Callithrix jacchus: one gene and its partners. The protein of the gene in region 1 interacts with the protein of each later gene in a pairwise test. Links are inferred from orthologs where the notes say so. Each region holds a gene or a part of one and is shown on either strand. Other genes may lie near its edges. The genes, in order: LRP2, MAPK8IP2 and MAPK8IP1.

The links.
Region 2: the proteins of LRP2 (region 1) and MAPK8IP2 interact in a two-hybrid assay, tested with the Homo sapiens proteins (2 studies listed by BioGRID). The link is inferred for Callithrix jacchus from reciprocal best matches to the Homo sapiens genes LRP2 and MAPK8IP2.
Region 3: the proteins of LRP2 (region 1) and MAPK8IP1 interact in a two-hybrid assay, tested with the Homo sapiens proteins (2 studies listed by BioGRID). The link is inferred for Callithrix jacchus from reciprocal best matches to the Homo sapiens genes LRP2 and MAPK8IP1.

The regions. Positions count from the first base shown.
Region 1 is NC_133507.1:60,247,741-60,251,383, reverse strand, and holds part of LRP2 (low-density lipoprotein receptor-related protein 2), read right to left. Parts: intron 1,747-3,643; coding exon 1,369-1,746; intron 217-1,368; coding exon 1-216. UniProt on the Homo sapiens protein: Multiligand endocytic receptor. Acts together with CUBN to mediate endocytosis of high-density lipoproteins. Mediates receptor-mediated uptake of polybasic drugs such as aprotinin, aminoglycosides and polymyxin B.
Region 2 is NC_133502.1:219,185,822-219,189,464, forward strand, and holds part of MAPK8IP2 (C-Jun-amino-terminal kinase-interacting protein 2), read left to right. Parts: intron 1-26; coding exon 27-1,271; intron 1,272-1,631; coding exon 1,632-1,707; intron 1,708-1,825; coding exon 1,826-1,998; intron 1,999-2,078; coding exon 2,079-2,188; intron 2,189-2,898; coding exon 2,899-3,006; intron 3,007-3,149; coding exon 3,150-3,220; intron 3,221-3,643. UniProt on the Homo sapiens protein: The JNK-interacting protein (JIP) group of scaffold proteins selectively mediates JNK signaling by aggregating specific components of the MAPK cascade to form a functional JNK signaling module.
Region 3 is NC_133511.1:110,908,714-110,913,028, reverse strand, and holds the start of MAPK8IP1 (C-Jun-amino-terminal kinase-interacting protein 1), read right to left. Parts: upstream 2,883-4,315; 5' UTR 2,686-2,882; coding exon 2,585-2,685; intron 1-2,584. UniProt on the Homo sapiens protein: The JNK-interacting protein (JIP) group of scaffold proteins selectively mediates JNK signaling by aggregating specific components of the MAPK cascade to form a functional JNK signaling module. Required for JNK activation in response to excitotoxic stress.

The DNA of each region.
Region 1 (3,643 bases):
ACAGGTAGCCTGTATCACATGAGCACCGGAAGGAACCTCTCATATTGTAACACTGCTGGCTACAAGAGCCTGGAATATCACATTCATCTACATCTTCACAGGTCTTAGAATCATTGGCAAGTACAAATCCCGATGGACATAGGCATTTAGCCCCAAAGGGCTCTTGAACACACTCGTGAGTACAACCACCATTGAAATCTGAGCAGCTGTTCTGGTCTAGAAAAAAGAAAGAAAATAATGAAAAAAGAAAATCAAGAATCTATGCTTCTTTAATTCATTCTTATACAATAGTTATCATGCAGTATCATGCCACCTTCAATATGATGCCCAGACAAGAACTAAGTTCAGCATTCACTTGGATGAGCTCTGCAGGCTATTAAGGGTTTGCTCTGATTTGCCTGAGGATTTACCATCCTTCCTATCCATTGGAATACAATTGCCTTCTTCACTACAGCCTGATAGTATAACTCCATTTATATAATTGAGAGTCCTTGGGAAAATATTGTAGACATCAGGGAAGAAGTGTCATTAATAGAGCATGCAAAGAGACTTAAAATTGTTTCTCATTTTCTTCCTCTGAATTCTTCTATCCATACAGAAATTTAAGAGAAAAGACTAGAAAATCTATGAAGTGAATAAAGGGGAAAGGTCATTGAAACATTAGAGTACACAGATCCACTAACACACCATCATGCCTTACTTTCAGAGCCAAAATGAAAATGCCTAAAGTCATTCTAAGACAATTCACATGTGTACTCTAACATATTTGCAAGAGTCATAAGACAGAACATGCATTAGAAAGGGAAGTAAGTTAATATAATCAGGACATTTTCAGAACAAATGCAACACATACGATAAGAATCTGAAATACTTCACAATCATACCTGGCTGGGGTTCATCTGAGAGTGAGCATTGATTAAAGGGGAAAGAAAGAAATGACAGTAATTAGGACCACATGCCAATCACAGCATTTTAATCACAGCAACACAAATCCCTGGACTTAATTTTTTTTTGTTACAAGTTCTGATTGAAATTAGAAAATATTAAAGATAGAAAAATTAATGAGCACATTACCAAGAGAACCAAATTTAATTTGACACTCTAATTCCCTCAATTTAGTCTTATTTTTTTAAACAAAGACATAAAAAGAAGTAAAAACACATAACCAAGTGCAAAGAATTTAATCAGAAAATTATCCAATGGTGATGTATTTTAATTCAATTATGGTTACCCCCTACACAAATGTGAACTCATAGAGGAACTGAAATCCCTTCCTAAAAATCTACACAGTGACTGAAAATGGTGATGCACACCAAGCTACTGTTCAGAATGAGTTTATGGTCAGTAAACTGTGGTCAGGAAACTTACTGCAAAGTGGGGACTCATCTGTCCCATTGGGGCAGTCAAAGGTGCCATCACATACTACACTCAGATTCACACAGATGTTATGGCCAAGACACTGCCATTGCCAACTAGGACAGCGAAAGGGCTGTGTAGGGCAGTCTTTCTCATCACTCATATCCCCGCAGTCATTGTCCCGATCACAGAGCCACGCCCTGTGGATGCAGTTTCCGTTATCACAGAGGAAATATGACGAAGGGCAAGTCTTGGGGACACAGGCATTGTGTTCATCAGATCCAGAGAGGCAGTCCGGATGCCCATCACACTCCCAGAACTTCGGGATGCAGTCACCATCTTCTTGACACTGAAATTCATCTGAGTGGCACATACCAGGAGGCCTGGTGGCTAGAAGGAAAACATGTGGGAAATGGGCCTGTGAATGTAATTCATGATCCCTTTTAAAACCTAGACTCAGAGGAAATGATTTTGGATCCAATAGTAGGTTTATAGTAACAACTATGACAAAATTAATACTGAAAGCTAAATAATACAGAGTCTTCTCCTGCATAGTTAGTATAGAAATATTTCTGTGTAGCAACTGGTGGATTTGACAACAAAGTACAGGATGCACACTGCTGACTAGAAGGTAAGTATCTGTGTCAAAGGAACATTCTGGGCCAGGCACAGTGGCTCACGCCTGTAATCCCAGCACTCTGGGAGGCCGAGGCAGGAGGATCACAAGGTCTGGAGATTGAGACCATCCTGGCCAACATGGTGAAACCCCATCTCTACTAAAAATACAAAAATTAGCTGGGTGTGGTGGTGCGTACCTGTAGTCCCAGCTACTCAAGAGGCTGAGACAGGAGAATCGCTTAAACCTGGGAGGCGGAGGTTGCAGTGAGCCACGATTGTGCCACTGCACTCCAGCCTGGCGACAGAGCAAGGCTCTGTCAAAAAAAAAAAACAAAAAAAAAGAACATTGTTTCTTATGTTTCTAATATTCTTCCAACTGCAGATTCAACAATAAAATTTATCTTTCTATGAAAGAATCGCCAGAACATTGTAATACAGCTTACATAGCTATGGTTACTTTGAACTTTACGTGTTTAATAACATGTTTGGGTGTTATTATTTTCCCTCAAATGAACTATACCCAATGAAACCAGCACACACTAAGTAAACTAAAGGTGATGGTAAATACTTAATTCTTTGCAAACTTTCCACTATGCATTGAGCAGTCCTGGAGAGATAGGTAAGCACTGCTTCCCTTTTCACAGGGGTAAACCGAAACTCTCTCCCAGGGATCTCACAAGGCAACAGCAAGCCAGCAGCAATTGACAGTTTAACCTCAACTCATCACAGAATTTTATGTTTTCAATGGAATACAGGAAAATTGGTGATTAGGAATTTTTAGATGCTGTGAAAACTATAAAGTACATAAGCATTTCATTTAACTTTTCTTTTGAATCCCTGGCTTTATACACTACCTTCTGACTTGGGAGGAAAATTCATGAAAACCTACTTTTCAAGGTCTGAAACACCATTGTTCAAACCAATGTTCAACTCACTGATGAGTTTTTGCAAGTCTCAAATCCATTTAACACAAAAGGTGAGCAAATAACAAACCATGTGAGTATAGGCCTCCAGTCTGTGAAGATTATAGATCCATCAGAATTATTTTGTATGAAGTCCTACTTGAATCCTCCAACTAAAGAAATTTCTATTCTCTGAACCTCCATAGAATTTTATCTGTGCCATTTCCAAGACCCTTATAACTGTCTTGCTTAATTGTCTCTTGCCTTCTATAATCTCCCTTACCACAGTCTGAGGACAAAGGTCATAAATAACATCTTAGCAGATATTCAACACATAATAGCACAAAGAATAAATTTATCAGACTCAATACCAAATACAGCTCCATACCATTTCTACACCATGATTTGACCTCTCTACTGAAACTTAAAAGGAACCAGTAAAATATATTTATATGGAGTAAAGCCTCAAAAGTTTAAACCCACTAATGAGGGAAGTCCTAAGAAAAACTAAAAGTGAGGATGAAAATATCTAAGACATATTTAGCCTATCAAAAAGACTATTTGAAGTGTCCATTTATACAACCACTTGATTCACTAATTGAACATTATTTGGAAATGTCTACTCAATTTTACTGTATGTTCAACATTGCATTCCTTTGAGGATACTTTGTAATTCAGGCTATCTTTCCCCCAATTTGTCTGAGATAGGGAAAATTTGTGGTAATATCAATGCTGGTAAAAATGAAATGGTCCCTTTGTCTGAAACA
Region 2 (3,643 bases), on another chromosome or scaffold:
GAGGGTGACCCCACCTCCCCGCCCAGCAGAGCTCCCTGGCCCCCTCCCTCCCACGGATGCAGGGCCTGGCGGGGCGCAGTCGCCGGTGCGCCCTGGTTGCGACTGCGAAGGGAACCAGCCTGCGGAGCCCCCGGCGCCAGGGGGGACTTCGCCCTCCTCAGATCCCGGCATCGAGGCTGACCTGAGAAGCCGCTCGAGCGGGGGCCACGGGGGACGTCGCAGCAGCCAGGAGCTGTCCTCGCCGGGCTCCGACTCGGAGGACGCGGGCGGCGCGCGCCTGGGGCGCATGATCTCGTCCATCTCGGAGACCGAGCTGGAGCTGAGCAGCGATGGCGGGAGCAGCAGCAGCGGCCGCTCCTCGCACCTCACCAACTCCATCGAGGAGGCCTCGTCGCCCGCCTCGGAGCCGGAGCCCGAGCCGGAGCCGGAGCCCCTGCGCGAACCCCCGCGCCGCCCCGCCTTCCTGCCCGTGGGCCCCGACGACACCAACAGCGAGTACGAGTCGGGGTCTGAGTCGGAGCCGGACCTCAGCGAGGACGCGGACTCGCCCTGGCTGCTCAGCAACCTGGTGAGCCGCATGATCTCCGAGGGCTCCTCGCCCATTCGCTGCCCCAGCCAGTGCCTGTCTCCTGCGCAGCGCCAGCCCGGGGAGCCCGTGTCTCCGGCCGGCGGGGTCGCCCAGGACTCCCAGGACCCCGAGGCGGCCACGGGGCCCGGCGGTGTGGAGCTGGTGGACATGGAGACGCTGTGCGCGCCGCCGCCGCCCGCACCCGCCGCGCCTCGGCCCGGCCCGGCGCAGCCCGGGCCCTGCCTGTTCCTCAGCAACCCCACGCGCGACACCATCACGCCGCTGTGGGCCGCGCCCGGCCGCGCCGCCCGCCCCGGCCGAGCCTGCTCTGCCGCCTGCTCCGAGGAGGAGGACGAAGAGGACGACGAAGATGAGGAGGAGGCCGAGGACAGTGTGGGCCCCCCTGGGGGCAGGGGTACCGGCCCCTCAGCACCGCGGGACGCCTCACTGGTGTACGACGCTGTCAAGTACACGCTGGTGGTGGACGAGCACACGCAGCTGGAGCTGGTGAGCCTGAGGCGCTGCGCCGGCCTGGGCCACGACAGCGAGGAGGACAGCGGCGGGGAGGCCAGTGAGGAGGAGGCAGGCGCTGCGCTGCTAGGCGGCAGTCAGGTCCCGGGGGACTCCTCGCCCGACAGCCCTGACCTCACTTTCTCCAAGAAGTTCCTCAATGTCTTCGTCAACAGCACATCTAGGTCCTCCAGTGAGTGAGAGGCGGGTAAAATGGGGGTGGCCCGAGGAATATCTGCACTCCCTCGCCCTAGTCCCACAGGTGCCCCACAGTTCCCAGGGCCACCTGAGGGTCTGGCCATGGTCAAGTCTGGGCCACCTGAGGGTCTGGCCGTGGTCAGGGCTGGCCACACTCTCCCACCCAGGACATGGTAAGAGGTGGCCTGCTCTGCCTCAGTCCCTTTCCCCTCCCAGGACACCCACATCAGACTGCAGAGGGGAGGGGATTTGGCCTCTGCCCAAGGCCAGGCCTTTAAGCACCTTCCTTCCCCCACTCTGCCTTGCTGCCTCTGTCTTCGCGTGCCCCCCACCTCTGTCCTGCCGCATCTCTCAGGCACCGAGTCCTTTGGCCTTTTCTCCTGTCTGGTCAACGGTGAGGAGCGAGAGCAGACGCACCGGGCTGTGTTCAGGTACAGCCTCCCTCCTTGCTGGTAGTGGCCCCAGCCTCAGTCCGTGGCATCACAGGACACCAGTGGACATGACCCTCAGCCCTGCCTGCCTCCCCAGTGACCTGTCTCCCAATGGCAGGTTCATCCCACGGCATCCAGACGAGCTGGAGCTGGATGTGGATGACCCTGTGTTGGTGGAGGCGGAGGAGGATGACTTCTGGTTCCGAGGCTTCAACATGCGCACAGGGGAGCGAGGGGTGTTCCCCGCCTTCTACGCCCATGCGGTGCCTGGCCCTGCCAAGGACCTGCTGGGTGAGGCCCCAACCCTGAGGGATGGCTTGTCACCCCAGATGCTCTGCCCCTGACTGACCTGGGCCCTCTGTGCCTCCCAGGGAGCAAACGGAGCCCCTGCTGGGTGGAGCGCTTCGATGTGCAGTTCCTGGGCTCTGTGGAGGTGCCCTGTCACCAGGGAAACGGCATCCTGTGTGCAGCCATGCAGAAGGTCAGTGTGGAGGCCAGGCAAGTACAGGCTGAGGGTCCGCATGGCAGCCACACCAGCACCACAGGCTGGCACAGGGCCTCGACTTCCTACAGGGAGGGCAGCTCAGGGTGGGTGCCCCAGGCCCTGGTTCAGAGGCCTGAGCAGGTGAGTCCAGGACAGAGCTCAGCAACTCTCCCTCATCACCTCTGGGTCTCTGGGCCACAGACCTTCCAGGCACTGCCATCAGCCCTTCCTCTTCCTGTCTGAAATTGAGACCAGCTCTCACAGCCCCTTCCCTGAGAGTCATCTACTCAGTGGACATTAGTGAGCACCTGCCCATCCAGCAGTCCTGAGACTGAGGCTGGGGGCTGTAGGGAGCAGAGCAGACCAGCCCTGCATCTGAGAGCTCCAACTCACTCATGGGGCAGGCAGTGAAGAGGCCAGGGTGGGTGGGGTCTGTGTTCCTGGCTCCTGAGCCAAGCGCAGCAGTCTGCCTAGAGGAGCAGAGGGAAGATGAAGCAAGCTGACTGCAGAGAGGTGACCGCTCCTCCTGAGCCTGAGGAGTGGCCAAGCCCACCCCCTATATCTTCCAGAATTGCATCTCAGGGGTCCTTAACAGGAGTGTCTGTGAACATAAGCTAAAAGGAGCAGAGGCATAGTCCCACCAAGGGGAAAGAAAGTGGCCCTTGTGGGCTCCTCAAGACCCTCTTCTCCCCCAACTTCTTCCTTAGATCGCCACTGCCCGGAAACTGACCGTCCACCTGCGCCCTCCTGCCTCCTGTGACCTCGAGATCTCTCTTCGGGGAGTCAAGCTGAGTCTGAGTGGAGGAGGCCCCGAGGTGGGGGTGTGGGGGACTGGGGTCGGGGGGTAGGGTAAGGCTGAGGAGTCTGACAGGGCCGGGCTGGCAGGGGCATCCAGCAGGCAGGAGGCAGGAGTGGCCCCAGGCCTTTCTGACACGGGCTCCTGCCCCTTCTGCTCTAGTTCCAGCGCTGCAGCCATTTCTTCCAGATGAAGAACATCTCATTCTGCGGCTGCCACCCCCGCAACAGCTGGTGAGAGCCTAACCGTCCCCCAGAGTCCCCACAAACCCTGAGGGCTGCTCATACCCGACCCCAAGAGCTCCACCTGCACCCACCTGGCTCTGTGAGCTGAGCATGCAGTGATGTCCACTCTGAGCTGGACTCGGGAGGTGCAGGTCAGACGGGCTTGCATCTGGTCTGGGTGGAGAGAGACACACGGGCAAAGGACATGAGCAGCTGCTTTGGGTATGGAGCATGCCTGAGTGGGCCCTGGGGAGCAGACCCCCAGAGGTGGGCCAGTCCTCCTGGGGCTCAGGATGGCCAGCCTGGAAAAACAGCAGGCGACAGGGATGGGGAAGTGGCTCTACCTGGTGGGGTCCAGCTGAGCCAAGGGTGTGGGATGCACTGGGGGGGCGCTACAGGCTCTGAGGCCTGTGAGTAAGGGTAGTAGCTAGA
Region 3 (4,315 bases), on another chromosome or scaffold:
CTGCCACTTACCAGCTCTGCCACTTACGTAACCTCCCTCTGCCTCAGTTTCCTCATGCAAGTGTGGATAATAACAATGCTCTGTTGATATCGTTATTGTGAAGAGTAAATACTCTTGCACACAGGAAACTCTTAGAATGGTGCCTGGGCGAACTGAGTGCCTTCCAAATGTCAGCGCTTACCACCGTTGAGTACCTATCGTGTGCTGAGCAATGGAGATACCAAAGTTTGGGTACAGATCCCCTGTGTCTTCTGGGAGCTGACAGTGGCACTGGGGGTCAAGTTGCACACACACACATAAACACACACACACACACAGCCCTGCCTACCTGTGGCTCTCCTCAGCCCTTGAAACACTCAACACGTGTTATCTCATCTGATTCACAGGACCATCCTGAGCAGGGGCCAGCGCTGGCATCTTGGAGGCTCAGAGAGCTTAAGTGTCCAGTGTAAAGGCACACAGCTAAGAAGGCCCAGTCAGGATTCAAGCCCAGGCCAGTTGGATCCATGACACCACCAAAGAGCCACAGGAAAGCACTACCCACCCACCCAGGGTTAAGTGGAGCTGGGTCAAGCATAGTGAGAGGCGGGCCAGGAGAAAGGGCAGTGGGGGCTGCAGGAACAGCAGGGCAGGTCAGCAGGGCCTGAGACACTGACCCGTATTATTCCCACATGCTGGCCTTGTCTCTGCAGCCAGGCCACGATGTCCTGGAGGGCCGACCCACGCTTCAACCTCCTGGCCTACTGCCACCCTTGTCCCATGTGGCGAGAGCTGGCCACACACTCACTAGCTGGTATCCGTTTCCTCAGCTCCTCTCACTAAAGCATTCATGACACCTGGGGAAGCAGGTCGGGGAGGAAAAGCTGCCCTCTAGGCCGGAGGCAGGGCGGGGAGGCAGAGTGGACTGAACATGCACAGACCTGGGTCCCACTGTGGCCTCAGCCTCTTACTATTTTGGAGTCCCTAGCAAGCCACTCTGCCTTTGTTCATCTCAATCACCTTGTCTATAAAATGGGAGGACCATTACCTTCTCTCGGGTGGTTATGAGGATCAAGAGAGTGGCCTTGGGAGGACACTCTGGATAGCAGCGAGCTGTAGCAGTCTGCTAGTGTCCGGGCTGGCCCTTGCTGAACACTGACCTGCTCTGCTTTTTCTCCTTTCCAGGCAGGAATCAATATTAATCGGCCCACTTAACAGATGGCACTCAGTGGACAAAACCCTGCCTGGGTCATGCAGTTGGATAGTGGAGCTAGGATTTGAACCCAGGTCCTTATAAGCACTATGTGCTTCCACTGCAGAGAGGCCTCCAGGTGGGGAGGCAGTGTTTGCATGGAGGCCTTGTGCGCCACGCCAGGTGGAGTCTCAGACCTCAGCCTGTGAGTCGAAGGCATTATCAGAGAGCTGCAGCCCTGGAGCCTTCAGGCCTGGTCTCCTCCATCTGGCCCCCTCTGGTCCTCCCGGCTCAGCTCAGGGTCTTGGGGGAGGTTTCTGGGTTTGATGATGCCATTAGAGATCCCCAGGGGTCTCTGTCCACCTGAGGACCTGGGAGCCAGTGACCCCTTGCTCCCAGGAGGGGCTGGCGCCACAGCCCAGCTGGAGCCTGGCTGGGGTGGGGCCCCAGGAGAGGGGAAGGCGCCAGCTCTTGAGATGGGGAAACAATGGGGTATGTCTAAGCCTCCCTCTCTAGGTGGGGAGCAGTGACATCTGCCTCTTCCTCCCCACCAACTAGGGGTCAGAATTATGGGGGAGGTATATCTATTCCTCCTCCACACAGTCACCCTTCACTTCTCTGAAACACATCAGACCTAACACCAGGCTGGTGGGGGGCGGTGGGAGGGGTGGAATGGGAGCTTAGGTCAGGGTTCTGGGTATTTACTCCAGCAGGGACCCCTGACACCCCCGCTGGCCCTGGCTACTCCCTGGCCGACTTCCCTTCCCACAGCCGGGCCTAGGATTCCCCAGGTTGAGGCTGAGCCTTCAGCGCCTGCCCTGAGAGACACACCTGCCCAGGTCGGTGCTGCTCAATCCAGAGAGGGGCCTGGCCATGGCGGACATGACAGGTAGGCCCATCTGGGCAGGCAGGGGCCCAAGACGCCGTCCTCCCAGCACCAACAACAACGTTGCCCCCAGGAAACTGCGACCCGCGACCCCCCCCCCCCGCCCCTCCCCGCCCCGCCCAGGCTGTTCCCAGCCCTATTCAGAAATCTTCCGACTGGGCAAAGGCTAAGATGCAGCCCGCCTGCCCGCTCAGGGATCACAACCCGGATCCCAGACCCTGCTGCAGCCCAGCCCGGAGGTGGGAAAGAAGGCAGCCTCCGAGCCCCCTCCTCCAATTCCAGCGCAGACCTCCCGGCCTAGGACCAGGAATGGCGGAGGGAGCGGCCCCGTGAACCTGCAGCGACTACCAGTCCGAGCATGAGGCTGGCGGGGCTTCTGGGGGACTCTGTCCCGGGAAGATACCCCATCCCCACGCCGTCCTCTCGTTCCCGGGTTCCCGAGGTTCTGGGGTAGGGGGCGGCCAGGGACAGCCCAGGAGGATCAGTCCCGCTGAAGGGCGAGGCGCGCGGCGGCCGGGGACTCTCACCTGAAATTGGGAGGAGACGCGATGTGCAGCCCCAGGAACGGGGAGGCGGCGGGCGGGGACGCAGCACCCCCGCCCAGGCCGCCGCTTTCTCGCTCCGCCATTCTCGGGCACAGCCCTGGCCATCCGGGCGGAGCGCGGCGCGGAGGAGGCGACGGCGGCGAAGGAGGCGGAGGCGCGGCGAGGGGGCAGCCGCCGCCGCCGCCGCCGCCGCCGCCGCGGGGCTCGGGCTGGGCGGGCTGGGCGGGCGCACCTGTGTCTGGCAAGGCGCGGCTCCGCGCCGCGCACGGCTAGCGGGACTGGCTAGAGCGCCCGGCGCGCGCCCCTGGGCCCCGGCCGGGGTCTCGAGCGCCCCGCCCTTTCCCCGCCCCTGTCCCGACAGCCCCGCCCCCGGAGATGGCGCTCTCCGCGGTGCTGAAGCCACGGACCCGCGGCCCTGGGCTTGGCTCAGCCCCGCCCTAAATCCGACACTGACTCTCCTCTACCCCTCAAGGTCCCCAGTGGCTGGTGTGGGCTTTGTCCCTCCGGGTGAGCTTAGCGCTCGGGTATCAGATAACTAATGGCAGGACCCTGGACCCCAAGGTCCAGGTTTGGCCCCCGCAGCAGAGACCAAGAAGGTAGACGAAAAAGGAGGGTCGTGGAGGAAGGCAGAAAAAGGAGAGGATATCAGTGGGTTCTTAGAGTGTACAGGTTTGGAGTTGGGTGGTGTGAATTCTCTGGCTCCACAAGTGATTGGGCATTGGGGCCTTGCATTAGTGACTAAAGAGGACTAAGGTGTGGTCTTCTTACCTGTGAAATGGGACAATAACGGCCCCTCTCATGGTTGTGAGGATGTAACGTAACACAAATGTGTTGCTACTAAGACCTGGAAACACTCCACCTCCTGCACCGGGATCCAGGCCTCACCCCAGTCCTGTCCCTTTACCTTGAGGGGACCCTGCCAAAGACTCTCCCTAGAGGCTGCCCTCTCTAAAGATTGATGCAAGCCTCTCTTCAGCCCCTAACAGCTACTTGTGGTGAATTGAGCCCTCCAGCCTTTTCAGTCTCTCAGCACCTCCTCCTTCACCCCAGGACCTTCCCAGCATTCTCCTTCTTAGCGCCTCAACTGCATTTCCTGCAGAGCACCCCTCCTCTGCACCCACAGACTCACATTCTAAGACTTGGGGCTTTTCCCTCTGCTCCCACTGTTGACTTCTTGGGATCATTTTGGTTCTTTCTGTTCCCTCTGGCACCTCCATCCCTGCTAGGCTTTGGCCATGGTTTCTTCCTCATTGTCTCTCCCCCAAGAGGGTGTTAAGCCTGAGCTTCCAGGCCTTCAAGGCCCTGTGTTCCCTGATTGAGTCATTTCACAGAGTATGGACTAGGCCTCCAGCTTTGGTGGGTCATGGAGCCTCTGGGCAAACCTTATTGGCTTCTCTGGTCCCTCAAGAGAACCCTAGAGACCCTGTCCACACTGCAGGACAGGACAGAAAACCTGCATACTGTGCCACAAGTCGTGGAGTCCTATTTGCGTATCTGGAAGGCTGACGGGTAATGCTGGCCCCTTTCCCTCAGTGTAGCACCCAGCAAGGAGCAGAAGGCACCTTCCTTGCAGAAGGCAACCCCCCAGCTCCAGACTCAATATCCCAATACCCAAAGCCAAAGGTCGTGGCTGCTTCTCTTTTCCCTGCTCTTGGGGCCCAGAGGGGTGGCCACTATTCTTAGCTTTTTGTGCTCAGACCCCTTCCCTGGGCC